Diceros bicornis minor: one gene and its partners. The protein of the gene in region 1 purifies or fractionates together with the protein of each later gene. This does not show direct contact. Links are inferred from orthologs where the notes say so. Each region holds a gene or a part of one and is shown in the gene's direction. Other genes may lie near its edges. The genes, in order: CSNK2B, ZNF687, EIF3J and RPS6KA3.

Region 1 (7,283 bases):
GATGTAAACGCCACCCCACCTCCCTTTTCGTCGCCCAGAGGCCCGTGGGCCGCTTGTGCTCCCCTAAACTCGCGCGTCCCCTTTAGCCCCCCACCACTCCTCTTGTCTGTGACTTCATGAAAGGCTTCTCCGGAAAAAAAAAAAAGCTACGAGAAGAGTCTTGGGGCTTGAGTAGCCCTTCCCTGCCCCTCCACGCAGATTTTACTTCCTGGATTTGACAACAGTGAGCTCCTCACGTGCGTGGCACCTGGTATGAGCAGCAGGAGGGAGACAGGGGAGTGTGGAAAACACAAGTATAGACAATACGATGTGCTTCCTACCCTTAGGAATTTTGAGGTAGTGAAATGAAGAACCTTGGCTTAAAGTTTAGATTTGGGAGGGCGGAGTTCTGATCCCAGCTCAGCTAACAGCGTACAGCCTGGATAATCTTAGGTCCTCCCACCACAATGGCCTCTTCCTGCAAAACCCTACTTGCTCTCATCACCTCTGTGAGCTTTCCCTGATGTCCCCTATCACCATGCAGTATATTTGAACCCATGGGCATCTCCTTCTCCAGCTGTGAGCAACTTGAAGGTTGGGAAAGTCTCCTATTCCTATTCTCAGCACAAAATATATGAACTTGTTTTTTGAAATCAGTGATTGAATTGGCTAGAGTAGTCAGGGACACTTCCTGGGAGAGGTGAGACTTACACAGGGCTGGGCAATTCCCGTTCAGGGGGTAAAAGAATAGGTGGGGCACTCCAGGTAGGGGCTAGGACCTGGAAGTGAACCAGACTGGCAGGGAGGTGACCCTCTCATGCCACCTGGAGGGGCTGCCCCTTCTGTCTCAGGTGGGACTTGCATGTGGCCCCCAGACTTGTTTGGCTTCCCTGCAACAGCTTCCAGAAAAGTAAATAAAACACAAAAGAGCGAGAAGGTTTATTTATTTCTCAACTCTCAGCCCCTCTCCCCCAAAGGCAGAGCCCACTGACCAAAACCTGAGGGTCTAGGACCTGGGCAGACCTTAGGAAATAGAAGCCAAAGTGTCCAGTTCAAAAGCCCAACTTCAGACTTGAGCAGCAGACCAGAGTCAGACCTTGCTAAGGTCAGAACTCAAGGTTCATGTATGTCCTCAGATCCCGCTCCCAGGCCCTGTCCTTCTCCTCCTGCCTTCTCTCCTCCCTCCGACTCAGTGTGATCACCCGAGGGGCTCTCTCCCTCCCAGCCACAGCCCGGGTATCCCGAGCCAGGAAGTGTGTGACTCGGGGCTGGGGCACTGATCTGTAGCCTAATCCTTCCTGGTCCCTCTTGAGGACAGTGGGGATGGGATTGGCGCGGCCCTCGCCCCGCGGTCCCAGCCCCATTCCAGGCTCCCAGCCCTCCCTCAGCAGCATCTTGAAGCCTGGGCTGGAGGTGGGCACCCCAAGGGGCAGGTTGGGGGGCTGGAGATTCCGAGACAGTGACAGCAGGTGAGCAGTGGATGTGCGGTGGTTAGAGTCTTGGAAGTGGGCGTCACAGCTCTCACAGTACTGGGGGGAAGGGGATTGGGACCTGCAGAGGAAAAAGAGAAAGGGTTGAGAGCAAGGGAAGGGTTGAGGCCTCAGAGAGGAGTGTCAGGGTGGGACAGGGTCCTTCCAGTCTTGCTGCTAAGGAACAAATTTTCTTCTCCCCACTTAGTAATGAGGGACCCAGAGGGGAATAGTTGGGAGAAGGAGATGGTAACCAGGCCTCACAGGCTCTTGGGCGGGGGAAGAATAATAATAATGATTATAGCTAATATTTATATAGTGCTTACTATGTGGCAAGCATTGTTCTAGCACATATTAACCTATTTAATCCTAACAACCCTATGAGAAAGGTGCTGTTATTACCCCCATTTCTCAGATAAAGAAACTGAGGCGCATAGACATTAGGTTGCTTGCCCAAGTAAGGAGAATCAAGATTTAAACCCAGGGAACTCATATTCATACCCACTCTGCCACACTGCCTTATCAACCTACACTGGGGGATGGGGGAAAGAAACCTTCAGCTCTGTTCTGGGGTCTCTGGTGTGAAGTGGCTAGGAAGGACAGAACACAGTGAAAGACGGATATGGGCTAAGGCTTCCCCTCACCGATTCTCTGGACTCCTCGTCTCTCCGTGGCTCTCTCTGACCATGCGGGCCACCTCAGGGAAGCCTGCTTCTTCGGCCAGCTGAGCAGCATCCCTGCCACCCAGCTCACAGACCCCCACCCAAGCAGCCCCACGGCCCAGGAGATAGCGCACAGCCGCCCCCTGGCCTGCTCGGGCAGCACACATCAGGGGAGTCCACCAGAAGGCATCCCGAGCATTGATATTCCCTCCAGCTCCCCCTGCTTCCTGGGGATCCAACAGCCTTCTTAGTTCTGCCACATTCCCCTCCTGGGCTGCCCTCAGTATCCACTGGGTCATCTTGTCCTCAGCTTCAAGGGATCTCCTTTGTCCATGTCCTCCTGATGCTCCTGCTGCAGCCTCCCTCATCATTCTTCTTTTCTTCCTCTTTCTGTCACTGGCAGGCTCAGGCTGAGCTCTCTGGGGTTCAGAGGTACTGCTCTCATCCCCAATCAAGGCCTCATAGAAAGCCCGGGCTGCAGCCCCATCCAGGGTGGGCTCCAGCTCTTCAAGCTGTGACTGCTGCTGCCCATCTTTCCAGAGGTCGCTGGGGTCAGTGGCCGGGGTGAAGGTGATGAGCGAGGGCCTGGACATGGCTTTTGGGAAACAGACTACGCAAGGGGAGGATGAGACAAGCAAGCCGACCCCCTAGTGGCCCTGCAGTGACCAGAGCCACCTCCAGATGCCTGCTGGGATGAAGAAAAGTAACCTTAGAGTCAAAATCCCCCTCCTGCCCCAAAAATGACCCCACAACCTAGGACCCTGCAGGGCCTATGGGACCTAAGTCATGTGAAAAAACAGGAAACCCTATAATAACAGACCATGCCCCATAGTAAAGGTTAACAAAGACAACAACATGAGACAGTCGTCCAGAGGTCTTGTGGTCCACCCCCATCCTCACCAACAATAAATAACAACAGCCTCTCTCTGAAACCACTTTACCACCCCGTTAAGACATACCATTAAGAAAAACAATCAGCCTGGCCCTTTAAATCTTCCTTGATCCTGCTTCGGTATCCTCTTCCCAAATGAAAACAGACTTGACACTTCTCCACAGACTTAACACTTCTGCGGAAGCAGATTTCAGGGAGATGCTCTGGTCTGCGATGATTTGTAGCTTCCGTACTGCAAAATGGCGCTACTCCAAGCAAAAGAGTTGACACAATCAAATAACCACACGACACGAAGATGCATGCGTGGCTGGGAAAAAAACAAAAACAAAAACATTAGTAGAGGGAGCAGGCATGCGCAAAGCACGGGTTCAGTTTCCCGCCCTTGACCCTTTTCAATACTGTGCGCCCAGTGCGCCACGTGCCGAGGTACCGCGAGGAGCGAGGAGGATCTGTCGGTTGGGGGGGGGGGGTCCTACTTTTACATAACACCCCCAGAATGCTCTTCGCCTTCCTCTACTTGGCCCCCGCTCCGAACTCATTTTCTGGAGCTGGGAAACCACTCTCTGAGTTAAGAAAGGCCGTGAGGAAGCGGAGGGAAACTTGTGGAATGCCTAGAAGCTGTGAAATGAAATAACGTCGCGCTGCCCCTCACCATTACTGCCCAGGGTTCGAAGGTCACACTTAGAGCCCGCAGCAGAAGGCCCCCTTCAAGCCTTAAGACGAAATGGAGAAGTGCAAGGGGACAAGCAGCAGAATGGCTGGCACCACCTCAGGTTAGCGCACTGGGCCGTCCCGGCTCTCACACCGCTCAGCTCAGCTCAGCACACCCTACCCAGGTCCCTCAGCACGGAGCCCGGCCTCACCTCCCGTCCCAGGAGGCCGAAGCCCGGGGTGAAACATAGGCCCCATCGGGGGTCTCCAGTGGCGGGCCTGACTCGGGTGAGGGGCTCGACAGGCGATAAAGACTCGGCGGGTTGGCCGGAGATGGGGTCAGTAGTCCCCTGGGTAGCAAAGGCGCGCCGGGGCTAGGCGTCACGGGAGCGGCAGGAAACGATCCAGCCAGACTCGTTCCTTTCCCCGCCCCCTCTTGGCCCCTCGGTCCCCGGATCACACGACTATATTTCCCAAGCTCCCTGGCCCAGACGCCGTACTGGGCTTCCTCTTCCGGTGGCGCCTCACTGCGCCCCGCCCCCAAGCGTCTTCCCCAGCGGCCTCGCGACACCAGGGTCGTGTGAGAGTCATCCTGGGATTCGTAGTTCGCCTTTCCCTCGTTTCGCCAGTTTCGCCCCACCGAGGACTCCGTCTCCCGGCGTCCACTCGGGCACTCGACTCTTGGCGCTTGCGCGTTGCCCTCTTCCCCCACCCTCCCCGATTTCCACTCCCCCCGCCCCACTCGCCTGCCGCGGTCGGGTCCGCGGCCTGCGCTGTAGCGGTCGCCGCGGTTCTTTGGAAGCAGCAGCTCCCCTCCCCCACCCTGGTCCCGGCCCTCGTCCACCCGGTGAGTCTGAGGTCGTCGCCGCACCGAGTCCCCTGTCCCTGGGCGCGGCACATGGGGTCTCCGCTCCTTAATGTGGAGGCGGAGAAGGAAGTGACCCGGTGCGGCACCGAGGGAGGGAGGGATGGCTTGAGGGGCGGAGGCGGGATGTGGGGACTCCGGTGAAAGGGACCTGACGGTCACCCCTGGCCGTGAGAAAAGAGGGGGCCCAGCTCTTGCTTGAAAAGGATAAACTTGGAAACCCTTGGGAAAAGCGCCAGGGAGCATGCAGACATCTGCGGGGGTAGGGAGCCCGAGCGGAGGGCCTGTGGGAGTTGATAGGGAGGGCAGAGGAGCCTGGCCTTCGGGAGCGTGAGGGATGTGGGTAGGACTTGGTGGGTCAGGATGTGTGCGTTTCTCGCAAGTGATGGGACCTCAAAGATTTTCTAATGTCGGATAAGATAGGCTGAGGTGTAACCCAGAGGAACTGAAGGGAGGCGCTCCAGAGTCTAGAATCCTTTAAGAAAAGGTGGCCCAAATTCTTTCGTGGTTGGAGAGCAAAGTGTGGGAGGAGGGAAGATACCAGAAGCAGGGAGGGAGAGCTTGGACTCTACTTACGCCCTTCTTTTTGCAGCTGACGTAAAGATGAGCAGCTCAGAGGAGGTATCCTGGATTTCCTGGTTCTGTGGTCTCCGTGGCAATGAGTTCTTTTGCGAAGTGAGTTCTCAATCTCCCTGCACATCTTCACTTATAGTCTGGCCAGATATCCTCCCGCATATTTAGCTTCCTCACACTTCACTCAGATGCTTCTGTAGAAACTTTTTCCTGTCGAGGAAGAGTCCCCTCGGTAACCCCCACTAACTTGTGATGAAGTGGCAAGACTGGGGCCCAAGTCCCAACCCTGCCACCCTCCAGCAATGTAATGTTGGACAAGTCAACCTGTGTCTTCCCTTTTTTTGTTATTAGAGTGGTGCTGGTAGTACCGATCTCCGGTGACTTTTAGGAGAATTGAAACACTGCATATTAAGATATTTTATAATGTGCAAAGCTAAGTGTTAACATAAGGGATTGTAACTATCTTCAGAACCTAAGCCGTTCAGCCTCTGCGTTCCTGAGAGAGCCACCTGCCCCTAAGGAGAGGACAGAACTGTCTCCTAGAGATGGGGCAGGAGCAGAGACAGGGATCTTGGAAGGAGTTGTCTCTCTGAGGAAGAGATTGCTTATCCTTAGAAAAGAAAAGCCAGGGCCGGCCCGGTGGCTTAGCAGTTGAGTGCGCGCGCTCTGCTGCTGGCGGCCCGGGTTCGGATCCCAGGCGCGCACCGACGCACCGCTTCTCTGGCCATGCTGAGGCTGTGTCCCCCATACAGCAACTAGAAGGATGTGCAGCTGTGACATACAACTATCTACTGGGGCTTTGGGAGAAAAAAATAAATAAAATTAAAAAAGAAGAAAAGTCAAAGCTTTTATGGGAGGGCAGTGTGTGTAAACTGAGGAGAGAGTCTCAGGTCCTTCTGCCAAGTTGAGAGTGGGTCACAAGGGGAATAGAAGCAGTTGTGTAGAGGATAAAGCATCAGTTTGAGCAACTTGCCCAGGTCAAAGCTGAGCGTTCTACTATAAGGGATTATAACTGCCTTATAACTAGGTTCCCTCTTGACTTCCATATCCTGACAGGTGGATGAAGACTACATCCAGGACAAATTCAATCTCACTGGACTCAATGAGCAGGTGCCTCACTATCGACAAGCTCTAGACATGATCTTGGACCTGGAACCTGGTGAGGCACCCTCAGGGTTGTTTTGTGTGTGTAGCCTTTTTTTTTTTTTTTTCGTTTCAAATTCCTGTTCACCTGCTTCTTGAATTTCTGAATTTCCTTTTGGTTTTATGATTCCCTTAACCCAAAATCCCCTACCTCATTTTGATCCCCCACCTGACTCTTGCCTAGTTTTGTGATTTATACCACTTATTCCCATACTCTGATTCTATAACTCAGCTCTGTTGCATAATGCTGGTCTCCCCCTGGGTCTCATTTGCTGCTTGTTTCTCCTGCCTTGCACCTTCTGGTCTGGAGTTCATATTCTGCAGTGACATCTTTGCATTTGTGTGTTGAGGAGGGAGTTGGGAGGGAGAGAAAAGAGCAGAAGCTGAAGAGGTGTAGAGAGAAGGCAGAGCTGCCTTGGGTTCGTGGAAGGGCAGAGGCCCAGGTTTCTGGGTCAAATGCCCAGGTGATGGGTGGGGTGAGGCTCAAAGGTGGGTGCTGGGCAAAGTGAGTAGGCAGCAGCCCCTTGGGGTGGGCAGGGCATCTTTAAAAAGCTGTAAGTCAAGTGGTTACATTCGGCCGGGGCCATGTTTCAGATGAAGAGCTGGAAGACAACCCCAACCAGAGTGACCTGATTGAGCAGGCAGCTGAGATGCTTTATGGATTGATCCACGCCCGCTATATCCTCACCAACCGTGGCATCGCCCAGATGGTGAGGCCTCTCTGCTCCCACTTGATTCCTTCTGAGGCAATAAGGAAAACAGAGGTTCCCACAGCAAGAAGTCATGTGTTTCAACCCTGTCAAGGAGTCTAGCTGAGAAGAGGGGAAGAACCCCAGAACCTGGGCCTGGGAATGAAATCCTGGTTGAGGGTTGTGTGAAGGGGGCGTTTTCAGGGAGGGAGACAACGACCTTGGATGGGAAGTTGTTACAGACTGCCTCTTCCTCAGGGAATAAACAGCAGATGGTTCTGATGGTCTACAGCCTGCCTAACTGGAGGAAAGGAAGCAGAGGAGTCTGAGGGCCAGCCTGGGCCAGAGAAGGGGCCTCTG
Region 2 (7,802 bases), on another chromosome or scaffold:
AAGAAAAAATAGAGCACCTGTCCATCAAAATACAGGGTCAAGAATATTCATAGTAGTTATGTTCACAATAGCCAAAAACTGGATACAACCAAAATGTCCATCAACAGTAGAATGGATAAATTGCGGTTTATTCATAAAATGAAATACTACATAGCAATAAAAAAGAATAAACTATTGCTACAACATGATTAGATCTCACAAACAAAATGTTGAGAGAAGGAAGCTAGATACACAATAATGGTAAAAGCAGAATGATGATAAAAGCAGAATAGCAGTAGCTATTGCCTGGGCAAGGCTAAGAGGGAGCCTTTGGGGAGCTAGAAATACGCACGCGCGCATGCACACACGCGCGCGCGCACACACACACACACACACTCATGGAGCAGTACATTCTGATTATACCGCCTCTCGTTGTTGCAGCCATCTACTGACCCCACCCCACTCTGTTACTACTCCTATACTACCCCTATCATAATTCTTGATTTCAATATCCTTTTAAATGAGCCTTTCAACCCCCTGGGCTCTCAGTCCCTTGATCTCCTCTTCTAGTCCATCCCTCTCTCTTGAATGCCTGTTTCCTACCTTCTCTCTCCTCAAAGCTCTAGCTCCTCCATCATCCTCACTCTCTTAGGGAATGATCTTGTTTCTTCACTGCGACAATAGAAGCAACTGAAGAGATCTACAGCCCCCTCGCATGTCCTCTTCCTCTGCCTTCTCTCTTGTTTTTATGGGTGAACTATCCTTGTCTCTCCATTTGTGAGAGAGACCCCACTCCTCACCTTTTTAAGCATTTGGCTCCAGAAAATTTTCTCTATCTCTTCGCTGCAACGTCAATTTTTCCTCTTCACAGGATCATTCCCACCAGTGTACTAACATACTGCAATTTCTTCATCTTGAAATAGTCCTTTCTTGACCCCTTTCCCCTCTAGTTACCATCTCATTTCTCTCCTTCCCTCCTTTGAAAGAATTGTCTATAGTCACTGTCTCCTTTTTTTCCCCCTCCTCCATTCTTTTGAAACCACTACATGCAAGCTTTTGTCGCTGCCAATCCACCAAATCTGTCCTTATCATGATCACCCATGACTTCCATTTTGCTTAATCCATTGGTTAACTCTCAGGTTTCATCATATTTGATCTTTTAGTGGCATCTGGCAGTTCATCATTCTTTCCTCCTTGAAACACTTTATTCGGTTTAAAGGCCACAACACTCTCCTGGTTCCCTCCTTCTCTTCGCTATTCTTTCTCAGTCTCCTTTACTGGTTCTTCTTACCTCTCTGACTTTTAAACTTTGGAGCTCCCCACAGCTCAGTCCTTGGACATTTTCTCTTTTCTATCCTCATATATTCCCTTGGTGATTTTATTCATTCTGAGCCAGATTTTAAATATTATCTATAAGCTGTTGACACCCAAAGTTATATCTCCACTTGGATGTGTCATATGACTGAACATGACTGAAATTGAACTACTGAACTTACCTTGGAACCCACTTCTCCTGTAGTCTTCCTAGCTCGGGAAATGGCAACATCAATCTTCTATTTCCTCAGGCCCCAAGCTTTTGAGTTTCTTTTTCTCATACCCCACATCCAATCTTTTTAGAAGGTAAGTCATGCCACCATGTCATTTGTCTCCTTCCCATCTCACTCTGAGAAAAAGCCAAAGAGACAAAGTCCTTCCAATAGCCCCCAAAGCATCCCATGACCTGGCCCACTAATCCCACCCCCTTACCTCTCTGGAACCCTCTACCACTTGTATTTGTTCCCTCTTTCCGGAACCTTGTCTTCCCAGACAGCTGCATGGCTCACTCACCAACTTCTGGCCTTTATTTAAATGCCACCTTCTCAGAGAGGCCTTCACTGCCCACCCTATCTAAAATTGCAACCCTCCCCACACTTTCTGTCCTCTTTCCCTGCTTTATTTTTTCACTTTAAAAAAAATTAGTAGACTTTGTTAGAACAGTTTTAGGTTTATAGAAAAATTGAGCAGGATTCCCATATATTTCCTTCCCCCTAGTTTCCCCTCTTAACATCTTGTATTAGTGTGGTACGTCTGTTACAATTAGTAAACTAATATTGATTCATTGTTATTAACTAAAGTCCATAGTTTACATTAGGGCTTTTGACAAATGCATAATGTCATGAATCCACTATTATAGCATCACAGAGAACAGTTTCACTGACCAAAAATCCCCTGTGCTCCACCTAGTCATCCCTCCCTCTATCTGAACGCTTAGCAACCTTTGTACCTTTTGTGTGTGTGTGTGAGGAAGATTAGCCCTGAGCTAGCATCCGATGCCAATCCTCCTCTTTTTGCTGAGGAAGATTAGCCCTGGGCTAACATCTGTGCCCATCTTCCTCTACTTTATATGGGACGCCGCCACAGCATGGCTTGCCAAGCCGTGCATCCGTCCGTGCCCCCGGTTCGGAACCTGTGAATCCCGGGCCACTGAAGCGGAGCGGGTGAACTTAACCGCTACGCCACTGGGCTGACCCCCCTTTTTACTTTTTAAACACAACTTTTTAATGTTTCCATAGTTTTGCCTTTTCCAGAATGTTATATAGTTGGAATCATACAATATATATAGCCCTTTCAGATTGGCTTCTTCCACATAGCAATGTGCCTTTAAAGTTCCTCCATGTCTTTTCGTGGCTTGATAGCCCTGCTTTATTTTTCCCTGTGGCAATGATCATTTCTAACGGGCTCCCATATATTTTACTTGTCATATTTATTGTTCGTTTTCTCCACAGGAACACGTTTCATGAGGACAGGGATTCTTGTCTGCTTTGTTCATTTCTGTATTCCCAGCGCCTACAACAGTGTTTTTACTCACAGACGGTGCTCAATAAATATTGATTAAATTAAGTTATTTCTTAAATGAATGAATAATGCATCTAACTGAAGAACAAATTTCTATCCAGAACCCTCCTGGCAAGGGAATCTGTGAAACATAATGTTTAACTTTTTGGACTCAGAATTTCAACTCCACTGCCTTTGACCCTGGGTAAGTCACCTAACCTAACCTGTCTGTGCAGCAGTTTCCTCCACAGTAAAATGGAGGTGATAATAGTACCGCCCTCACAGGGTTGTGGTAAAGATTAAATGAATTAATATACATAAAGTTCTTATAATAGGTCCCACACGTATATCTGAGTAGTAATTATTCCGTACAGAAAGACTCAGAGAGGAAGGTGGGAATGGAATACCGGTTGGCTACACCCAGTACGCGACTCTGAGTTAGTTGTTTCGAGATGGAAGAGCGCTGTGAGCTGGAGCAATGGCAGGCAACCTCGAGAAAGAAGGTGGTGGAGTGGGCGGGCACTAATCCCACTTGCCCATCACTTTACAAAGCACTTTTACATTCTAAACGCTTTTAATCTTCACAAAAGCAATCATGTCAGGTGGGTATTATAATCTCCATTTTACCAATGGGGAAACCGGTTCAGGGAGGTTCAGCGACTTGCCCGATGAAACCTATGCTAAGTGGTGGCCCCATCCAGAAGCTCTGATTCACACCTCAATACAGTCGCTATTACCCACGCAGACTCTCAGGGCGCGCACGAGTCCTGGTCCACGGGTCTAGTGACCCTCGAGCAGGGTACAGAACCACCTTAGTAACTACATCCAGGTTGTGAGCGACTGCGCGCGCGGCAGCTGCGGGGGCTCGCGGGCGGGCTAGAGTGTGCGCAAGGTGGCACACAGGGCTTGTGCGTGCTCATTAGAGTATCAGTGCAACTCGTTTTCCGAGCATCCCCTCCCCTTCCCCCGCCTCCAGGGGGCGGGGCAACAAAGCGCGGGAAAACCTGCCTCGACTCCACCCCCACCCCGTGCTGAGGGCGGGGAAAAGGAGAGCTCTTAAATGGGAAATGGATGCGTGTGTATGGGGAGGGGGTACCCCCCAACCTCGTGCTTAGTAAGCCTACCAGTATGCCGCTTTAAGATCCCTTTGGGAATGGCCCAGGCCACGCCAGCACTCCTAACGTCACCTCTCCCCTACTTCCGGTGTGCAAGCCCGTTCCAAGCCTCAGGTGCCTGTTCCTTCTGCGCTCCAAGTCCCGCCCCTGTCCCAAGCCCTCCCGGGAGGGAGGAGCTATGGGTGACGTCATCGCCAGGAGCTGGGAAGCGCGAGGACCCCAACCATCCAAATTATATGACAGTTTAGACTGGGAAAACAGAGAGGAAATGGTCACCAGATGACGTAAGGATTTGGGTGACGTCCCATTCTGTGACTTTTGCACTGTATGACTGATATTGGGGGTTAGCCTGAGCAAAAAGCGAAAACCGATCTACACATCCGGGGTCCACTGAGAGTCGACGATGTTCCCCTTAGTGTTCACCAAATAAAAGCTGAGAGTTCTTTAAATTTGCATAAGTGAACTGCAGGCTTCAAGGATCACGGCCAATAGGGAGTGAGGGGGCGGAGACGCACCTGGGATAGTCACCGCCTCCAGTAGGAAAGTCGGGAATCAGATTGGCTTCTTTCTAAACGACAGTAGCGGAGGCCAGTCGTTTTTGAGAAGCACAAATGGGGCAAGTGGGCCCCGGCGCAACCAATGGGGAGCAGCATCTTCAGAAGGACTAGGCTCCTTGCCCAATGAGGCTGGGAAGACTGTGCGGGGCTAGTTGCGAGCGGCAGTACTTAAGGCCAACCCAGTGCGGGGCTGGGAGGGGCGCAGTCCTGAACGACGGGGGTACTGGCCAATGGCGAGTGCGAAAGCGGGCAGCCCAGACCGGGAACGCGGAGGGAGCTGAGGGAGGGGGAGGCTAAACGGGGGAGAAGCAGGAAGTAGCGGCGGCCGCGGGGAGGGCGGCGGTGGCGGTGGCGGCGGCGGCGGCTGGAGCAGGGGAAAGAGCGCGGGGTCTCGGCCCGCACTAGGAGCGGAACGAGTAAGCGTGCCTGGGGTAAATACCCGCCCTTGGCCCCGCCCCCTGGGGGGGCGGGTAAATGCCCCCGCCCCTCCCCCACTTGGTCAACTACCCCCTTCTCCGCGCCGCCCCCTGGGGCAGCTTTTAGGAAGGCCCGACGCCACTTCCATCCCCTGGGGCGGATGGGCGAAACTCCCCGCCTGTTGAAAGCACAGCCCGTAGCCGGGTAAACGTGGAGGGAGGGTCGGAGTCCCCAAGTCCTGGCGCCCCCCAGCCCAAGAGGCGTCCGAAGCGCGGCTCGGGGACTGGAGGCTGCGGGATGTCGCGACCTAAAATGGTGTCCGTGTCCGGGGGTGGGGGCGGGGGAACTGGGCCAGGCCGGAGTGGAGCCTGCACCCTGACTGGGCGCAGGTCAGCGTCCGGGCCTGGGCCGGACTCGGGCTCGCGCCCCGGGACGCCGCGCGCTTTCTGCTCACTCCCCAGTCTCGAGAGACCCCCGGGAGTCCGCGGGAGGAGGAGGCTGCGCCGCGCGGGGAGAGGAGGGGACGAGGTCGGAGTTGGGACGGCCCCTTGCTGGAGAGCTTCGAGTCACGCAGAGACCGTCCCCTCCCCACTCCTCTCTTTCCACGCGCCTCCCCCGTCCCGTGTAGTCCTGGGCCCGGAGGTGCCCCGCGGCAGCTCCCTAAGGGTCTGGCCTGGCCGAGGCCGGTCCTTCCTTTCGCATGGCGGTGGGAGCGAGACAAACGCCACGCGCCTCAATTTCCCCTCTGGCTTCTCCTGTGCACACCCCGCCCCCTCCCACAACCCCGGACGTGCTCCCCGCGCCGGCCCTCGGCAGATGGCAGGGACTTAATTCCGCCCGCTGCCCAGCTTGGCGGCAGCCTAATCGCCCCGGCCGCCGGCCCCTCGCCCTCCTCTGCGTAGCAGGCCCCGGGCCAGAGAAAGGGTAATGGAGCTTCCACCCGACTTAGGCCAGTTCACCCTCTTCCTGTTCAGCCCCTTCTTTTGGCTTTTGGGGAAGAACAGAGGGAAAGGGAGGGCTGGAGCTCAAGAGACAGGGCGCAGCAGCCGCAGAAAGGCCTGGGCCGGTGGTGGGGGGAAGCCTCTTTGCCTTGAGCTCTGCTGTTTGGTTGACTATCCACTCCTGGCTATCGGATAACCTCTAAGTCTCTTGGACGCCAAAGGGGGAGCTGCTTGGGGGAGGCGAGTTCACAGAGGTTTTCTCATAGTCCCCACTGATCTCTGCTCCACCAGCTCACTTTTCTGAAGGCCTGAGTGAATGGTAGCTCAGGCCTCTCCAGGTCGGGAGAGAGCCAGGCACAGGAGGGCCCTGGTGATCCATCAGGCCAGAGGCATGGGGTGGAGGGCTTTGTTTAAACTCAGAGCCTGCAGAATTAAGTAGGGGAGGATGAGGGGAGGACTCCCCTTTCTTTCGCTAGTTGGTACCCTCTCCCTCCACCCCCACCTTGGTCCCAGCAATGCCAGCTGCCACCTGCTGGGACTATCTCCAGTTACAGTCTAAAGGCTGGAAAGAGGTGAGAATTGGCCCTGGGAAATGGCCTGCATCCTGGGTAGGGAATGTGTAAGGACAGAGCCTTCTTCAGTTGCTTTTTCCTAGATATAGAAGCCCTTGTAGGGAAAAACTGGTAGGGAACAGACTTGAGTCCCCCGCAAGCTCTAGGCTGGGCTTCTTGTTGGTTTAGTGCCACAGAAGTCCTGTGGGATTTTTTTTTTTTTTTAAATACTAGGCCAAATTGGGGTTGGGCGAGACTTCCTGGGCTCCTGTTGCCAGGGGAGAATTAAAAGGATGAGGAGTGTGAGTTAGGGGATAAACTGGGATGAAGAGCTCAGAACAGAAATGACAGGGGTGAGGGGGCCTGGCTTTTCCCCATTGTGGCAGCTGTGCTGGATAAGCTGGTACCCTGGAGTTTTAGCCCTGAGAGAGCAAGATGGGGAGGGAGAGAGGGAGGAGGGGCTGGCTGGGAGAGGGCCCCTGGAGGGCTGAGGCACTCTGGGGAAAGGTAGGTGAGTGAGCAGCAGGTGTTTGTGACAGGAGAGGCCTAGCCTGGGGCCCTTGTGACCAGACTGCTGCCACGGTTTTCCCCTCTGTCTCTTCTCTTTGTCTCTTTCTGTTCCTGTGTCTTATTCTTTCCATCTTGGTCTCTTGGGCGATTTCCCTGAGTCCACTTCTGCCTGTTAACCAAGCTAGATCTCCAGGTGCCGGTGATGACGCCAGGTGCCCCAGACTTGACCTTATATGATCCCTAACTCTTGTGTCTGATCTTAGCCCTGGATGTCCAGTGCTTACTCCTTTCCAGCTCCTCCTTAACCTGACATGTCCTTGTTTGTTCTAGCTGTAATAATAAGTCGTATTCTGGGTTCTGACTGTCAATGTTTACAATTCATATCATGCTCAGAATAACCCTATGATATATGGATTACCTGCCCCCTCTTTCAAACAGCAAAAGTAAGGCAGTGGAGTAACTTCCTTATACAGCAGGCCATTGATAAAGCTGGAACTCGAATCATTTCTCACGTCTTGGCTTGAGTCACTTCCCCTTTGTACACATGGCTTTTCAGATCTCTGTGGACCCCTAGAAGATCCATGAAGAATATGAATGGATGCCATGCTGCCATGAATGAGCCCTTAAATCTAGACCATTGTGTACATCCTCCTTGATAGTAGTATTGATTAATTGATTCTATGTTGGGCACAGGAGGGGCTGAGGTGGTTTCAACCAAGATGCTCACTGAACTCCCTCTGTCTCTATCACCCTTATCTCTTATCTGTATTTCTCAGGAATCTCTTTTTCTCTGCTTTCTCTGCATCTTGATGTCTTCCCTGGAATGTGCACAGTACCTCCCTTTCAATTTTACGGTTTGGCAAACCAGTCACCTGTACCAGCTCTCTGGGATTTGCAGTATGGTGGAGGTGTACGCAA
Region 3 (7,974 bases), on another chromosome or scaffold:
TGGAATTTACTGGAAAGATAGTGGGGTACCCCGTGGCATTTAAGGAAGAGCTGGACAACTGGACCTCAAGGGAATGCATGAGGCAGTAAAGTGGCTTGGGAAATCATCACTCCAACAGGAGCTTGTGGTCTTCCCTTCAGGGTGCTGTCATCAGCCACCAACTCCCAGGCCCTGAGAGTCTTGAGTTCCAAATTCTAAAGTCCTAGGAAAGAGAATCTTTCTGTTATCATTGCATAACAATTCACCTCAAAACTTAAGAGGCTTAAGATGACATCTCTCACAGATCTGTGGGTTGAGTGGGCTCAGCTGGGCAACTCTTGGCTTGGGGTCTTCTGTGATTGCATCAAAAAAGTAGTTGGAGATGGAATCATTTGAAGGCTCAACTAGGCTGGATGTCCAAGATGGCTTCTTCACTCCTATATCTGTTATCTCTGCTGGGATAATCTGAAACAGCCAGCGGCTGGCTGAGTATTTCTCTCTCCCTAAACAGCCTCTCCATATAGTTAGCTTGAATCAGCATGATAGTAAGACTTCCTAAATGGTGGCTGACTTCCACCAGAGTGAGCATTCCAAAAGGTGCAGGTGGAAGCTGCAAGGCTTGTTGTGGCCTAGCTTTAGATGTCATTTCTGTCCTATTCTACTGGTCAAAAATGAATCACAAGGCTAGCCCAGACTCAAGGGGAAGAGACTACATAAGGAGTTGAGTACTGCTCACTAAAGGGCCATCTTTGGAGACCATCAGAGAATCTGGTGGTTCCACTGGGTTACTTACATCCCATCTAGGGGCAGATTCAGATTTTATATGGTTTGAAGCATATACAATTTGGAGGGCTTTCTTGAAGAATGGAAGGGGCCCATGCAATGAGGGTCCCTCAAGCTAAAGCTTCATTAGCTTCAGTTAATCTGCTTCTGACCCCCTTCCCAAATCAGCTATGGTAATGGAGCAAACATGACCCTAGGGAGTCCACCTACTCTTGTATACTAGGACAATTTTCAGAAAAGGAATTATTATTATTTTTAAATACCTTTGTTATGGACAATTTTTTTTTTTTGTGAGGAAGATCAGCCCTGAGCTAACATCCATGCCAATCCTCCTCTTTTTGCTGAGGAAGACCAGCCCTGAGCTAACATCTATTGCCAATCCTCCTCCTTTTTTTCCCTTTTTCTCCCCAAAGCCCCAGTGGATAGTTGTATGTCATAGTTGCACATCCTTCTAGTTGCTGTATGTAGGACGTGGCCTCAGCATGGCCGGAGAAGCGGTGCGTTGGTGTGCACCGAGGATCCGAACCCGGGCCGCCAGTAGTGGAGTGCATGCACTTAACCACTAAGCCACGGGGCAGGCCCCAGAAAAGGAATTATTGTGAGCTTTCCCCACCCCTCACCAGAAGTGCCCAATGTTCAGTTCAATATAATCTGATCATTTGAATCACAAGAACCCAGGTCTCTTGACTTCCAACAGTGAATTTTCAAATATACCATAATTCATAGTATTTTAAAATTTATATTTTTTACCAAAAAAAGTGGTAGAATTGGAAGGATACAAAATTTTTTTAAAAACTTACTATCCTTTCTATACCTTTTTCCTCTGGCTGCTGCTTAAATGTTATGTCCTTCAAGGTTTCTTCTCATTCTTTCCTATCTTCAGATGGCCTCTACTTCCACATGATTCCATCCACCACCATAATCAGATGACTCCAAATCTTCTATCTGGAGCCCAGATTTCTTCAGTTCCAAATGTGTCCTAGACATTTCCATTTGGATGTCCCATAGGAATATCAAGATCTGAGTGGCCAAAACTTAATTTATCCTTATTCCTTATTATGATGAGAGGCACCATTCAGTCATTTTCAGAAACATTTATTGAGCATTTACTACATGGCAGACACTGGGAGTACAGTAGTCAAGAACACAAGGTCCCTGTGCTTCAAACAGACATTAAATAAACAAGGTCATTAGAGATTGTGATAAATGCTATGACAAAAACAGAGTGACGAGATAGAGTCACTAGGGGAGGCCCCTTGCAGGAGGGAGATCAGGGAAGAAAGAGCTTTTTGCAAAGGTAACATATGAACTTTGATTTGAAGGAGGAAGAAAAGCCAACCATACAAAGAGGTGTGGAAGAGCACTGTAGGCAGAAAGAACAGCAAGTGCAAAGTCCAAAAATAGGGAAAGGCTTAGTAGGCCCTCTACCTGAGGGCCAGGAGCAACTGAGGTTAATGAAAGAGAATGGCATAAGGGGCTTGGTGGGAGGAGGCAGGAGTCAGGAGTCAGGAGTCAGACTATACAGGGCCTTGTAAGCTATAGTAAGGAGTTGGATTTTACCCTAAAAATAACAAGAAGCCACTAAAGGGATTTCAACTGAGAGAAAGGGGTGTGACGATCTGATTTACAATTTTTTTTTTTGGTGAGGGAGATGGGACCTGAGCTAACATCTATTGCCAGTCTTCCTCTTTTTGCTTGAGGAAGATTGTCCCTGAGCTAACATGTGTGCCAATCTTCTTCTATTTTTTGTATGTGGGATGCCGCCATAGCATGGCTTAATGAGCTGTGCATAGGTCCACACCTGGAATCCGAACCCATGAACCCCAGACCACCGAAGCAGAGCACGCAAACTTAACCACTACACCAGTGGGCTGGCCCCTGATTTACATTTTTAAATTAAAAAAACTGCCTGGTGCGTAGTGAATAGATTGTGGAGAGGGAAGAGTGGAAGCAGGAAAACCAATTGGGAGGTTATTATACTAGAACAGTCTAGAGAAAGCTTGGATTGAGGTGGTAGCAAGAGTCAGGGGGGTAATTAAATGAACTCAAGATTAATATTGGTAGTAATTCACAGAACTTGGTGATGGATTGAATTTAGGGGGTGAGAGAGAGGAAGAAAGCAAGGAAAGCTCACAGGTTTTTGACTTGAGCATCTATAGATGGGCGTCACCACCACTCACTCAATCTCCAAAGGCATTACCTTCTATGTACTTCTCCCTTCCCCTCCTCCTCCATATCCAGTCAATCACTGTAGCAGTCAGGGTTATCCAGAGAAAAAGAACCAATAGGATGTGTATATATACACAGAAAAAGGTTTATTTTAAGGAACTGGCTTGCAGGATTGCGGGAGCTGGCAAGTCCAAAATCTGCAGGGCAGGCCAGCAGGCTGGAGACCCAGGGGAGAGCTGATGCTGCAGAGTCCAAAGGCAGTCTGGTGGTAGAATTCCTTTTTCCTCATTATGTTTTCTTAAGGCCTTCAACTGATTAGATGAGACCTAGCCACATTAGGGAGGGTAATCTGCTTTACTCAAAGTCTACTGATTTAACTGTTAATCACATACAACAAATACATTCGCAGCAACAACTAGAATAGTGATTGACCAAAAACTGGGTAGATGGCCTAGCTAAGTTGGCACATAAAATTAACCATCATAGTCACTAAATTCTGTTGATTTTGACCCTTAAATATTTCTCAGATTTGTTCCTTCTTTCCTGTCGCCCTTGCCTTACTTTTAGGCTTGTATTCTTCTCATTTAATTCATAAAATATTTACTTATGTATTAGATACTGTGCCAAATACTGGAGATACACTGTGAATAAAAGATTGTGCCCTAAGGACCTTATATTCCAGTCTTTCCCTGCCTTCTGTCTTGCCTCCTTCCAATCCATCTTTCTAAATGGATGCCTGTATATCATTGCCTCTCACACTTTAATGCACAAAGTCTCATCTGAAGATCTTGTTAAAAGGCAGATTCTGATTCAGTAGGTCTGGGATGGGGCCTGAGATTCTGCATTTCTAACAAGCTCCCAAGGTGTTGCTGCTGATGGAGGGACAAACTTTAAGTAATTGGGCTGTAGAATCTCTCTTAAAAGCCCATCTTTACGAAATGTGTATTTGTAGACTCTCTGAAAAGATACACAAGAAATGGGGAACAATGGTTGCCACTAGAAAGAATAGAATAGCTGAACACTGTATACAGCTTTTTATAACTTGAATGTTGTACCAAGTATGTATTCGACAATAAAACATGTGAAACTGCTCTCCTCTTAAACCCTCTGCAGCAAAGACCAGTGGCCCAAAAGGCAGAGTGCAGCTTAGCCTATCTTAAGCCCTTTATTATGATCAGTTTACCTGCTCAGCTTATCTGCGATTGTCTCACTCAGTCAGGTGAGGGACCATATGCGTTCTTTCTATTGGAAGTGCACTTGAGCAAACTTCACTTGGTCTTTCAAACTCCAATTTCCGCAGCGCTTACCTCAAGAAGACTTTCATGCATCCCCGCTCCCCCCGCCGTTATTGTTACCTTTTTACATTAACCTCACAATGTTTCTTTTTGTTGCAGCCATCACACTGTGTCGAAACTTGTTTACACGTCTATCTATGTTACTTGATTATGCGCTCCTTGAAGACAAGGCTAGAGTTTATGCCTAGCGCAGACTGAGTTTCAAAATTATTCTACGAAATAATGAATCATGTACTGGCCTCATGAGGCTCACAGGACAGGAAAATCCTCGAGCACTGGGGCTCTCTTCGATCCCTTCGTGACTAACTCGACGCAAACGTGCCAGGAGCTGACTCCAAGCACCCTGGCTGGGAAGAGTGCCAGGAACGCGGCTCTCTCCACTCGCTCCTTCCCGGGCGCCCCGCGCACACCGGCTTCCCGAGGGATCCCTCCTCCCCCAGCGCGCGAGCGGGCCCTCGGGGGGTCAGCGAGGCCCGTCCACCGCCCCCAGAGGCGGCCGTGGCGTTCAGAGTCCGCTTCTCAGCGCGGCGTGAAGAGGCTGGGGGTCTCCACAAGCAGCCACAGGCGGCGATCAAAGTGACCAGAGGGAGGGCGCACCCGACCAGTCGGGGCGGGGCTGGGCTTGGTAGGGGAAGGATGGCGAGAACAGGCGAGGGCCAAGCGCCAGGCAAGGTACCGCCCTGCTAAGTTCCCCGCACTCACGTTTCCTCCCCGGGGCCCAGGCTAGGGTGGCGGTCTCCGGCCTCTTCATCTCTCCCCGCCCCACTATCCACCAGGACTGTTCCGCGTCGTGGGGTACCGGACGCTCGCCTCGCCAGCCCGCGCTACCCACGCCCCACTGACCGCATTCCACGCCCCCTTCCCGCCTGCGCGCGCGTCCCCGCCGCCACCAGAGGGGGCGGGGCCTGGGTCCCGGCGTAGTCAGCCACGGTCCCAGCCTGCCCCGCGCCAGCCAACGAGAGCAAATCCAGTGACTCACCTCCGCCGCGCTAACTCTTCTCGCTCACTCCTCACACACGCTCACGCCCGGCTCGAGATGGCGGCTGCGGCGGGGGACTCCGACTCCTGGGGTGAGCAAAAGTTCCGGGGGCAGGGCCCGGGCCGGCGCTGGCACCATGCCGAGACAGGGACTAACGCGGCTCGCTCTCTTCCGTAGACGCAGACACGTTCTCCGTGGAAGACCCGGTGCGGAAAGTGGGGGGCGGCGGCACCGCCGGCGGGGACCGCTGGGAAGGCGAGGACGAGGACGAGGACGTCAAGGTGGGTGCGGGCCGGGGCTCCGGGCAGCGCGGGAGCGGACTGGCGCCGTCGCGGGCGGGGTTGCCTGCCGACGGGCGGGCTGATGGACTCTGGGCCCAGGGGCGCCGCCCGGGCCTCCAGGCGCGATCGTAGGGCCTGGCGGTGCCCCCTTCCCCTCCGCTCGCCGGCCGTACGGACCGGAGACGGGCAGCGTTGCCTCGGACTTCCTTGGCGAGGGCGGCGGCCGGGCCCCAGCCCTTGTTTGAGGGTCCGCGCTCCGGCCTGGATTCCACCCCCCAACTGGCGACAGGAGATGACAGCAGCGTCTGGGCCGGTCCACGTGCAGACTTCGCGGCCCGGAGCCGCTCCCCGGGGTGAGACTGGGAAGTTGGGGATTGAGCCGCATGGCTCGTCCCATATGGAAAGTCTTGCAACCCACCTGCCTCTTCGAGCTCAGGTCTCCCCAGGGCCAGTAACTAATTTATGTCTCCGAAGGCCCATTTGTAGAATTTGTTCAAGCAGTTAGATGAGTGAAATATTGTTTAATTTCAATCTATTTTTCATAAAAGACAAATAAAAACAATAAAGTGAAATAAGTTTTAGCCTTCCTTCCCCGACCCTGTGGTAAAAGGATAAACTGAGTCCTGAGATAGCCCACAGTTAATGGTCAGAAACCTGAAAAATGGGGAGTTGACAGAGTGAGTTATTCGTCTAAACACGAGTGACGTCCAAAGAAATATTGAAGATTTAGTGGTTGGAGTGGACGAGGCAGGGCAGTGTTTATTTTTTCCTATTGCTTGTAGGTGTGAACCAGATACCTTCCTCGTTTGTGTTTTGAAAACTCTTGGGGGGCCTCCGCATATGGCTTCAGATGACATCGTGACTACTGCATTCCTTGTTTTTTTTTTTTCCCTTTGAAGTAGCTACAGAAGTCTCAAGCCCAGAATGTTAAGACTCTTATTGACAAAGTTCTCCAAGTCTTATACTGTATTTGTGTAGATAAAGTTTTGTATGGATTGGAAATGTTTTTTTTGTGGTTTTGATTCATTTGGTGAATGTTTTAATCTCCTAACTTCCACCCTTCAGCACATACTGAGAACCCTACAGTTCCTTCTGCTTGGGTTGAAAAAATTTATGCTAATCACTATGAACTTAATACTACCTTTGTTTGGATTTTACTGTTTTGTCTTGAGTCTGATGACGTGGATGTCCAGTTTATCAAACAGCCAGGTACAGGAATGAAGTGAGCTTTGCACCCTTTGGGGTTAATAAATGAGTAGTACTATTGTGAGGATACTTAGATGCTTTATTTACTTGTTGTGTAGACATGGGAATGGATTGTGTTGTCAGACTCATTACAAGATATGTCACCTTCCCACATTGTAGTGAATTTTCTGTTTTGAGCCTTTAGTTCAGATTTGTCCATTCACTTTTTCTGTGCATACTGGATGTAGCATTTAAGACATCTGTTATGAAAATTGGGAACAAGTTGGCAAATGAGAAGAAAAGATTAGAGAAATCAGGAAAGAAGTACCAGAAAATGAAGTTTGAATGGATCAGTCTAGACTGATCATGAAGTAGCCTGCCTGAGGTTATTGAATCTAAATGGTGTCAATCCTGATAAATATAATTCTGACCACTTGGAACTAATTTTGGAGATTTACAAGTTTTAAGGGACCATAAAGATCATCTTGTCCAGTCACCCTTTCAGTGCCGAGTTTCTTTTATACAAATAGCTTATTTCTTTTCTTCTTTTTTTTTTTGTGAGGAACATCAGCCCTGAGCTAACATCCATGCCAATCCTCCTCTTTTTGCTGAGGAAGACCAGCCCTGAGTTAACATCTGTTGCCAGTCCTCCTTTTTTCCCCTTTTTCTCCCCAAAGCCCCAGTAGATAGCTGTATGTCATAGTTGCACATCCTTCTAGTTGCTGTATGTAGGACGCCGCCTCAGCATGGCCTGACAAGCGGTGCATCGGTTCGCGCCAGGGATCCAAACCTGGAGCGCGCACACAGCTAAGCCACGGGGCCAGCCCCACTAATAGCTTCTTTCTTTTTTTGTTTTTTGGTGAGGAAGATCAGCCCTGAGCTAACATCCAATGCCAATCGTCCTCTTTTTTTGCTGAGGAAGACTGGCCCTGGGCTAACATCTGTGCTCATCTTCGACTTTATATGGGATGCTGCCTCAGCATGGCTTGACAAGCGGTGCGTTGGTGCGTGCCCGGGATCCGAACCTGCAAACCCTGGGCCGGGCTGTCGAAGCAGAGTGCGCACACTTAACTGCTATGCCACCGGGCCGGCCCCGGCTTATTTCTTTTACATAAACTTTGACGTCGATCTTGGAGAAGAAAGCTGAACTGTCTGTTTTATTTCCAAGTTGAAATGTTGGTTTCTTTCTTTTGAGTTTCTCCAAGATTCCCAAGATACGGTAGCTATGGAGTAGTTTGATTCCTGGACTTGGGAATCAGGCAGACCTGGGTTTATATTGTTGCCTTGACATTTTCTATATTTG
Region 4 (7,722 bases), on another chromosome or scaffold:
CTACATGCTCTTTTATTTGAATTCCACAGGAAGTTACTCACAGTATCATTTTTTGTGATACAAGAGTGCCCTAGAGAAATAGATCATACCATAATAAAATGCTCACACAACAAATGGAAAGAAGTAACTTTCAAGAGTGAAGTATTTGAACTACATTATGTATGCAGGAATACTCCTTTCTGAATAAAGCTGATAAAAATAGCTCCACTTATTGAGTGCTTCCTATGTGGCAGGCACTGTGCTTAATGCTTACAGACATTATTTGCATTTAATCATCCCCAAAATCCTACGCACGAGGTGGGTTTTATTATCCTTATTTCCAGATGAGGGAAACAAAGCTTATTCTGCGAATATTTATTGAGCAACTACTATGTGCCAGACCCTGTTCTAGGCCTTCAAGTTGAAGCTTAGAGATGTAGAGGAACCTGGAGTTTGGACACAGGCCTGTCTCTGCTCTTATCATGAGCCCACACTGCCTTGCTGGGAAGAATGTTAAACATTTCAAGTATTTGTATCGTAGAATGGCTTCCCCTTAGTTCCTTATAGATTTTATTAGCATCTTTCATCATGTGCAACTCTAGAATCATTGAACTTTCTATCTGGAGGGAAACCTAGAGAAGATCCTTACATTTTCCAAAATTTGAATTCTCTCAAATAAAATTTTCAAATAGATGTAGAAATTCCTGTTGTCTCTTAAGATGTGTGTCAATCAGGAAAATACTCTTAATAATTTTTATTTAGGAAATTTCAAAGAAAAAAATGGAATTCATACACGTGAAAGATATGTCACCATGCATTTTGTTTAATTATTGTCTTATGTGAGATAAAATTTAAGCCTAAGTTTTATCTCTTTGGAAAGAAATAGTTAAATAGTCTCTAGTGATTACTTTTTCTGTGAAAAATAAATATGCTTCAGATAATGTAAAGGGAAAAAACTTTTTCAGAGAGGTGATGATGATTACGCTTCATTTTCTATGGTGGTGACAAACCTATATGTAACAGAGCTGTGAATTTTGGATGTATGTGAGGTAGATTGTGCCATGAGCCATAGTTAGTCATCTTGTAACTTTTCCAGACTGATGTAACTCCATTTTTTGAACAAATGTTATTTTGTTAAGTAAATGCCCATTTAAACTTGTATACAAAGGTTATAATTATAGCAGGAAATTGTTGGGGACAGAGGAGGTTAAATCTGGTTGTCCTGTCATACATTAGGAATGATTTCTTGGAAATCTAGCCCAGATTTTCGACTGAGGTTTGCTGTCTCCCTTTGCTGTAGTTTCAAGTAATAACTTTCCAATATTTTGGTTCTGACTGAGAGATTTATGGGGGGGGGGGCATAGATTCAGTAGGTAACTGAATCAGCCCTTTGTGCTGATTTTGCACAGAGGAGCCCAAAAAGATAGCGGAATGTGAGGATATCACTGAACATTATAGGTCTTGTAGGAATACAGAAAAGGGTCAGTGTTAAAGGAAAGTTCTAAAGCAGGGCTGTCCTATAGAACTATAATGCCAATCTTGACAAATAAGCCACATATGTAAGTATACATTTTATAGTAGCCACATAAAAAAAGTAAAAAGAAACAGTTGAAATTAATTTTAACGAAATATTTTATTTAACTCAATATTCAAAATATCATTTCAACATGTAGTCAGTATAAAAATTATTAATGAGGGGAAGTGGTGGGGGGAAGGCAAAAGGGATAAAGGGGCACATACATATGGTGATGGATAAAAACTAGACTATTGGTGGTGAATACAATGCAGTCTATACAAAAACTGACATATAATAATGTACACATTAAATTTACACAATGTCATAAGCCAATATGACTGCAAAAAAATAATTTTTAAAAATTATTAATGAGATACTTTACGTTCTTTTTTTTGGTACTGTCTTTGAAATCTGGTGTGAACTTTACACTTATAGCACATCTCAATTGGGACCAGCCAACCTTATTTTAAGTGCTCAAGAGCCACATGTGGCTAGTGGCTACCATATTAGCCTGAATAACTACACTTCGAGTTTTCCTTTCTTAAACAGGAAAAAAAATTAATCCTGCTCAGGCAATATCAGCTTCTACGTTCAAATAACTTTTTTTGCTGCCACCTACAAGAAAAAATTGATTTTTTGATTTTCCCAAATTCTCCAGCCAGAGAGAGTGGTTGCACCACTCTTGGATTTAATAAAAGAAACGAAAAAAGTTTATTGTTAACCAAAAGAAAAAAAACTTGCTTTCTTTTCTTTTTGGGCAAAAGTAAGGAGAATAGCGTTTTTCTAAATCAAGTCACAAATACTTATCAAGTTGATCGTATATTCAAGACAGCTGTGCTAGTGGTTCTTTAGTCTATTATTAACAGTTCGTTTAATGCTTAATTCCGGCAGTGTGACCACTGTTCACATTAGTTTTACAGATCAATTAACTTTGTTTTAAAAGTTATTCCTCTAGTTCTCAAGGTAAAAAGAAATGAATAAAAGTTGATACTGAAATCAACTTTTCAGTATACAAACAATCTGATTTATTTTAAAAAGGTTAGTTCACTGAGTGGAGTAATTAGCGCTGGACAATGTTAAATACATAATAACCGTCTCTTTTCAGCTATGTATGTTTTTCCTAAAGCAAGAATGTTAATTGGAATAATTGATCACTGTTTGGGGGGCTAATTTACCTTAAACTAACCAAATTGACCAACTTCTTTTCGGTATAAGGAATGGAAACGTGGCTTTGCAATGTAAATGAAAGATAAATTAGGCACTTTGTACGTAAATGCAAAAAAACCCACAACTACTTGTCTTCAGACTTCTGCAAGCTGGTTTTACCCTCAGGAATTATAGAAACGGTGCTCGCAAATTAGCTGAGTTTGGGTCCAGATTGGATTCGCAGCACTTGAATCAAGCCTGTTGGGGGAGGTGACAAAATCGCGAGTTAAGTCCTCCCCACCCCCCACCCCACAGACCACGCTGAGCCTGCCCAGATGTTGCTCAACCCTGAGCTGTCCCCCTGAGTCCAAGGCTGCGGGAGAGGGCGCGCAGCGAGGATTTCCGGCCGCCTCCTCAGGTTCCCTAAACAGATGGAGCCTCTTCAGGAGGCCATGAGGCTCCCGGGCCTCGAGCCTGTGCCAAGGGGCGCGCCGGCGAAGGCCGCAGAAAAAGCCCAACACCTGCCTCTTTCCGGCCCAGCGAGAAACCTTGCACCGCCCGCGCAGACCTGGCCGGCTAGGTGTGGGGCTCTAATCGCATCCTCACACCTGCGTTAGGGAGGAAGGCGAGGGCTCTCCAGGTGTCTGCGTCCCGGAAGGACGAAAGGGAGCTGTTAAGAGGCGTGCACCAGGAGCGCAGCGGGGGACGCGCTGTGGTCGCCGGGCGTGGGAGGACCCGGACGCCTGGGCCGAAGCCTGAGGGGATGAAGGCACTGGCCGGCCTGGAGATTTTCCTTTACTTTTTTCCTTTTCCTTGTAGGGCTGTTAGCCACTGGCTGTAGTAGCTTTCCACTCAGACCGGCGACTTTTACACAGTTCTGCCCTGGCGCACTGAGCTCGCCACGACACCTGGCGCTGGGAACACGGGGTAGAACCCCCCCCGGGACCCACTCCAGACGCCCAGGCCTCTCCCCACAAGCTCTCTTCGTCCTCTTGGGCTCCGTCGCCGTCTGGGGATTGGGTTTCCTTAACCCAGGGCTTCCCTATCTTGGGCAGGAGGAGGAGTTAGAACCCCTCCCTCTCTCCCCCTCCTCCACCCATCGCCAACCCGATTTTTAATCTAATCTTTTATTTAAAGTCAACAGAGGAGCAGGAACCCCGGGCTCCTGCCAACAAGATATTTTTAAATAATTCCCCAACCTCTGCTGAGAGAGGCAGCCTTAAGGAACCTCCTTGTTTTCTCTTTCGTCAAGATTTAGGCAGCAGGGAGTGGGGGTGGCTTCGAGGGTCAAGGCTGAAGCCCGAGGGCTCTGCGGACTTGAGGGAGGGGGCGACTCCTGCAAGACGAATGAATTCCAAATATTAAAAATATAATACGAGAGCGTCAATTTGGAGAGTCTTGAATCAAACCGAGAGCCGAACCCCCAGAGGGCTCCAGGGCACGAAGCCTTCCGTGTCCCTGTCGTGGGGCGTGTGGAGAGGGGGCAGGTGAATGCCCAGCTTGTGACCCTGAAGAGGGCGTGTCCTGGGCCATGACGGGATGTGCCTATAGACTCCGCGCGCCTATACGCACTCACGGAGGGCTCAGGCGGAAAAGACACCCACGCCCCCTCTCGGGGTCCTTGGCACCAAACCGCGCCCCCCGCGCCTCGCCCATCTCTTTCCCCAGCTGGGCGGGGACCACTGTTCTCTACATCCTCAAGGAGCTTCCGACCTACTGGGTCCCGTGGCACTTAAAGGCTCCCAGCCTTTCTCCCCTCCTGCCTGTCCCCTCTTTTTTCCCCCGCCTCCCGCCGACGCCCCCAGATCTCTCGGACTCGCCCTTCCTGAAAGTAGGCGAGGCCCAGAAGCTGAGGCTGGGGCGAGGAAGGAAGGAGGAGCGCAGCGCGGCGGCCGGGGGCGTGTCTTCCCAAGCCCCGCCCCCGGGTGCGCGCGGCGGTGGTGGCGGCTGCCGAGCCTCGCTCTGAGAGACAGGTATCGCTTAGGCGCCATGTTGTGAGCGGAAGTGGGGGAGCGCGCGGCGGCCGCAGTTCTGCTGGGAGCGGGCGCGGGAACCGGCGGGGCGGGGGGCGGAGCTGTAGTCCCGGCGGCGGAAGGAGGAGAGGAAGAAAGGGGCGAGACCCGGTGCCCGGCAGCGGCGCGAGGCTCTCGCTCGGCGCGCGGACGTCTCCAGCCGGGCACGCGGCATTCGAGGGTCGGTGTCGGCGCCGAGCCCTCTCCCGGGCAGCCGCCGCTGCTGCCGTGGGGCTCGGGCGGCGACGGAGCGGGGCTGGCCGCGGGGCGGGCGGGGAGGGAGGAGGCGGTGAAGGCGGCGGGCCGGGGGGGAAGATGCCGCTGGCGCAGCTGGCGGACCCGTGGCAGAAGATGGCTGTGGAGAGCCCGTCCGACAGCGCTGAGGTGAGTGCAGCCGGGCGGCCGGGGCTGGCTCGTACCCTCCCTCCCCTCCCCTCGCCCCCGCCGGCTCGCTCCCCACCCGGGAGTCGGACACTCGGCCCCTTCCTCAGCCGCTCGCGTCTCGCCTCGGTCTGGGATTCCGGTTTGGGTAGTTGGGGTTGGTCTCTCTGCCCTTCTGTTCCTCCCACCCGCACCCACACCTCCCCTCCCTCGCTCGGGGGGCTGTGGGGTGGTGGCGCGTGGGGTTTGGAGTGGGCGCTGGGGCTTTGGAAGAAGCCGATTTTAATCAGCTTCGCGTGGGGGGAGCGGGAGGCGGAGCGGGGGCCGGCGAGGAGTTGGGAAGTTTGGCCCTGCCGGGTTGGGGGCTTCCCTGGCCCCGGGTGACTTTGGGCGATGAGGGAGGGGTAGGGATTGGGTTCACCGGGGAGCAGGGACTCTCGAGTCCGGCCGGGGGAGGGGGTTGCTGCGGGGACACGGGCGCGCGGGGGCAGGGACGGCGACCTGTGGGGGTTTCGGGTAGGGAGTGCAGGACAGCCCAGGGGTTTTGCCTCCCCCCATCTGCCGCAGCGGTTTCTGCTGCTGCAAAGGAGAAAGTGGAAGCCTGAGGTCCCCCCCCCCCGCGTTTCTGAGGTCGCTGAGCTCGAGGACCCGGCCCCCGCGAGTTTAACTTGAGTTTCCTGTCCATGGAGGTGAGAGGGTGATATTCAAGGAGACCAGCGGCCGCCGTAAAGGGCTGTCGGGTTTTCCTCGCCCGGGATCTGGTGACCGTCCCTGAGACACCCTCCCGAGTGCTAAAAAACCCAAACAATATACCCAAACAGGGCAAAACAGAATTTCCCCGGACACCCCACGGCACTGAGCTTTTCGCAGTCGCCCCTGTCCCGGAACCAACTCGGGGTCTGCGAAAATAATCCAGACAAGACCCATTCCAGGGCATCAGCGCTCCTCTCCGGAGTGGAAAATCAATTCCTGATGGTGGCGCGTCTGTGATTCTTCCTTCTTGACTTTTTTGCTGTCTTCTATCCCCACAGCGGACTTTGGGGGATTACAGGATGATAGGCTGCGTGTGTGTAATAGTTACTGAGTGAGTGACCCCATTTCTGGAAAGCATGACTGAAACGCGGGGGTGGAATGGGGCAGGCTCTGATGAGTGGTGTACTTGGCGGCCGCCGCTGCCCTGCCGGCCTCCGCAGTGTGAGAGGTGGATAGGGTTACTGGTTACGTCAGTACGACCGAGGCTCAGTTTGATCTGAGATGCGGGACACTTGCATTCTCCAGCATATAATGAAGGGGGAGGGGGATCCGTTCTAATCGCTTTTCAGTGTTTTCCTAGTCACCTCCACTGCTGTATAAAATGTTTACTTGCTCTCCCTAACGCAAGCAGAGTTGTAATAGTGCTTACGATTGGTGCTTAGTATTTTGCGACTTAGATCGTATTTTTAAAACCTAAACGCTGCTCTTGAATAAGAAAGACATTGATATATGTTACCTAAAATTTTTTTAAAGGGAATCATGTTTTTAAGACTGGCAGGATTACGAGAATTTCATTTAAAATTGTGTTAGCCAGTCTAATACTATAAATCTTTTATAAGAAAATCAAATTTAGAATGTTTAATCATCCTTCGAATGGTTAGTGTGAAAAGTAGTATGCCAGGGGGCTCTTTTCATTCATTTTTTTTCCTTCAGAAATTTTTTTTTGCGTTAAATAATATAGCTACAAGGTTGATAAAATATGTTCTCAAAGTGCTGACCTTGTGGAAAGAAATTGAATTTGCTTTGAGCCTGATTTTTAGATGCAAACCTTAACATTTGCAACTCATAATCAGTTCACATTTCTGCTTGGCACGTATCAATGTGAAAAAAAAATCGTTTAAAATTCCACCTTGTCCTTTTCTATGTAGCGTACATTTGGATAAGGAAGGCACAAAACTGGTATTTACTTAGCACTTATTATATGCCAGATACCGTGCTACATCCTATTTCATTTTCTTTCCTTGACCCAACAGAATAGGATTACGGTCCCTATTGTTACAGATTAAGAAACTGAATCTCAGAAGTTAAAGGCCCAAAGATTATAAATAGTAGATGGCAGAGCCATAATTCAAAGCCAGGTGGATATAATTCATGTCCTTTGCTTTATATTAGGGTAGCTGCTTCAGATCCTTTGTGGAAAAATTCAGGGTATAAATAAATAAGCCAGTAGTTAGAGGTCATGTGTTTTTCAGAAACAATTATGGTATTACAAGAGGTCTCATTTGTTAAAGTACTTATTTCGGTTACTGTCATGGTTTCCAGAACTTGGCAGATAGGATTCCGCAATTTGCCATGTTCAAAGAATTTTCTTGATATTCTGGCATGAGGTATGTCAAACAGCCAGTGTTGCCTAGATTTATTAAAACTAGATTTTAACAAATTGCCTTTAGATATTTTGTTGCCTTTGGTTGTTCAGCTGTTTCAAGTAAATTGCTTCTGATAGAAATTTGGAAATATTGAGACCAGTAAGGAAAAGGTTGAGAGTTTTCTTTCAAAAGTCTAATATTGGGCTTAATATTATGCCATCTCCTCCCCAGTAGGTTCTTATCAGAGAATAATTGTATTTTACCAGAGTAAAATCAGTTTTTTAAGATAGTCATTTACTTGAGTAAATACATCAAAAGTTTTCTCTCCAGGCTAGAAGATGTCAAGGTT

Evidence for each region.
Region 2: the proteins of CSNK2B (region 1) and ZNF687 purify together in Homo sapiens (co-immunoprecipitation; 3 studies listed by BioGRID and IntAct, with this or other methods). This does not show direct contact. The link is inferred for Diceros bicornis minor from reciprocal best matches to the Homo sapiens genes CSNK2B and ZNF687.
Region 3: the proteins of CSNK2B (region 1) and EIF3J purify together in Homo sapiens (co-immunoprecipitation; 3 studies listed by BioGRID and IntAct, with this or other methods). This does not show direct contact. The link is inferred for Diceros bicornis minor from reciprocal best matches to the Homo sapiens genes CSNK2B and EIF3J.
Region 4: the proteins of CSNK2B (region 1) and RPS6KA3 purify together in Homo sapiens (affinity purification with mass spectrometry; 5 studies listed by BioGRID and IntAct, with this or other methods). This does not show direct contact. The link is inferred for Diceros bicornis minor from reciprocal best matches to the Homo sapiens genes CSNK2B and RPS6KA3.

The regions. Positions count from the first base shown.
Region 1 is NC_080753.1:33,097,606-33,104,888, reverse strand, and holds the start of CSNK2B (casein kinase II subunit beta), read left to right. Parts: upstream 1-4,275; 5' UTR 4,276-4,500; intron 4,501-4,732; exon of another isoform or gene 4,733-4,780; intron 4,781-5,110; 5' UTR 5,111-5,121; coding exon 5,122-5,193; intron 5,194-6,147; coding exon 6,148-6,250; intron 6,251-6,828; coding exon 6,829-6,944; intron 6,945-7,283. Other genes in the region: GPANK1 (G patch domain and ankyrin repeat-containing protein 1), read right to left, coding at 1,086-1,530, 2,093-2,703. UniProt on the Homo sapiens protein: Regulatory subunit of casein kinase II/CK2.
Region 2 is NC_080743.1:55,552,745-55,560,546, forward strand, and holds the start of ZNF687 (zinc finger protein 687), read left to right. Parts: upstream 1-4,796; 5' UTR 4,797-4,881; exon of another isoform or gene 4,882-4,896; intron 4,897-4,925; exon of another isoform or gene 4,926-5,086; intron 5,087-5,290; exon of another isoform or gene 5,291-6,395; intron 6,396-7,802. UniProt on the Homo sapiens protein: May be involved in transcriptional regulation.
Region 3 is NC_080744.1:41,734,456-41,742,429, forward strand, and holds the start of EIF3J (eukaryotic translation initiation factor 3 subunit J), read left to right. Parts: upstream 1-4,967; 5' UTR 4,968-5,262; coding exon 5,263-5,296; intron 5,297-5,382; coding exon 5,383-5,486; intron 5,487-7,974. UniProt on the Homo sapiens protein: Component of the eukaryotic translation initiation factor 3 (eIF-3) complex, which is required for several steps in the initiation of protein synthesis.
Region 4 is NC_080781.1:16,902,473-16,910,194, reverse strand, and holds the start of RPS6KA3 (ribosomal protein S6 kinase alpha-3), read left to right. Parts: upstream 1-4,721; 5' UTR 4,722-4,968; coding exon 4,969-5,037; intron 5,038-7,722. UniProt on the Homo sapiens protein: Serine/threonine-protein kinase that acts downstream of ERK (MAPK1/ERK2 and MAPK3/ERK1) signaling and mediates mitogenic and stress-induced activation of the transcription factors CREB1, ETV1/ER81 and NR4A1/NUR77, regulates translation through RPS6 and EIF4B phosphorylation, and mediates cellular proliferation, survival, and differentiation by modulating mTOR signaling and repressing pro-apoptotic function of BAD and DAPK1.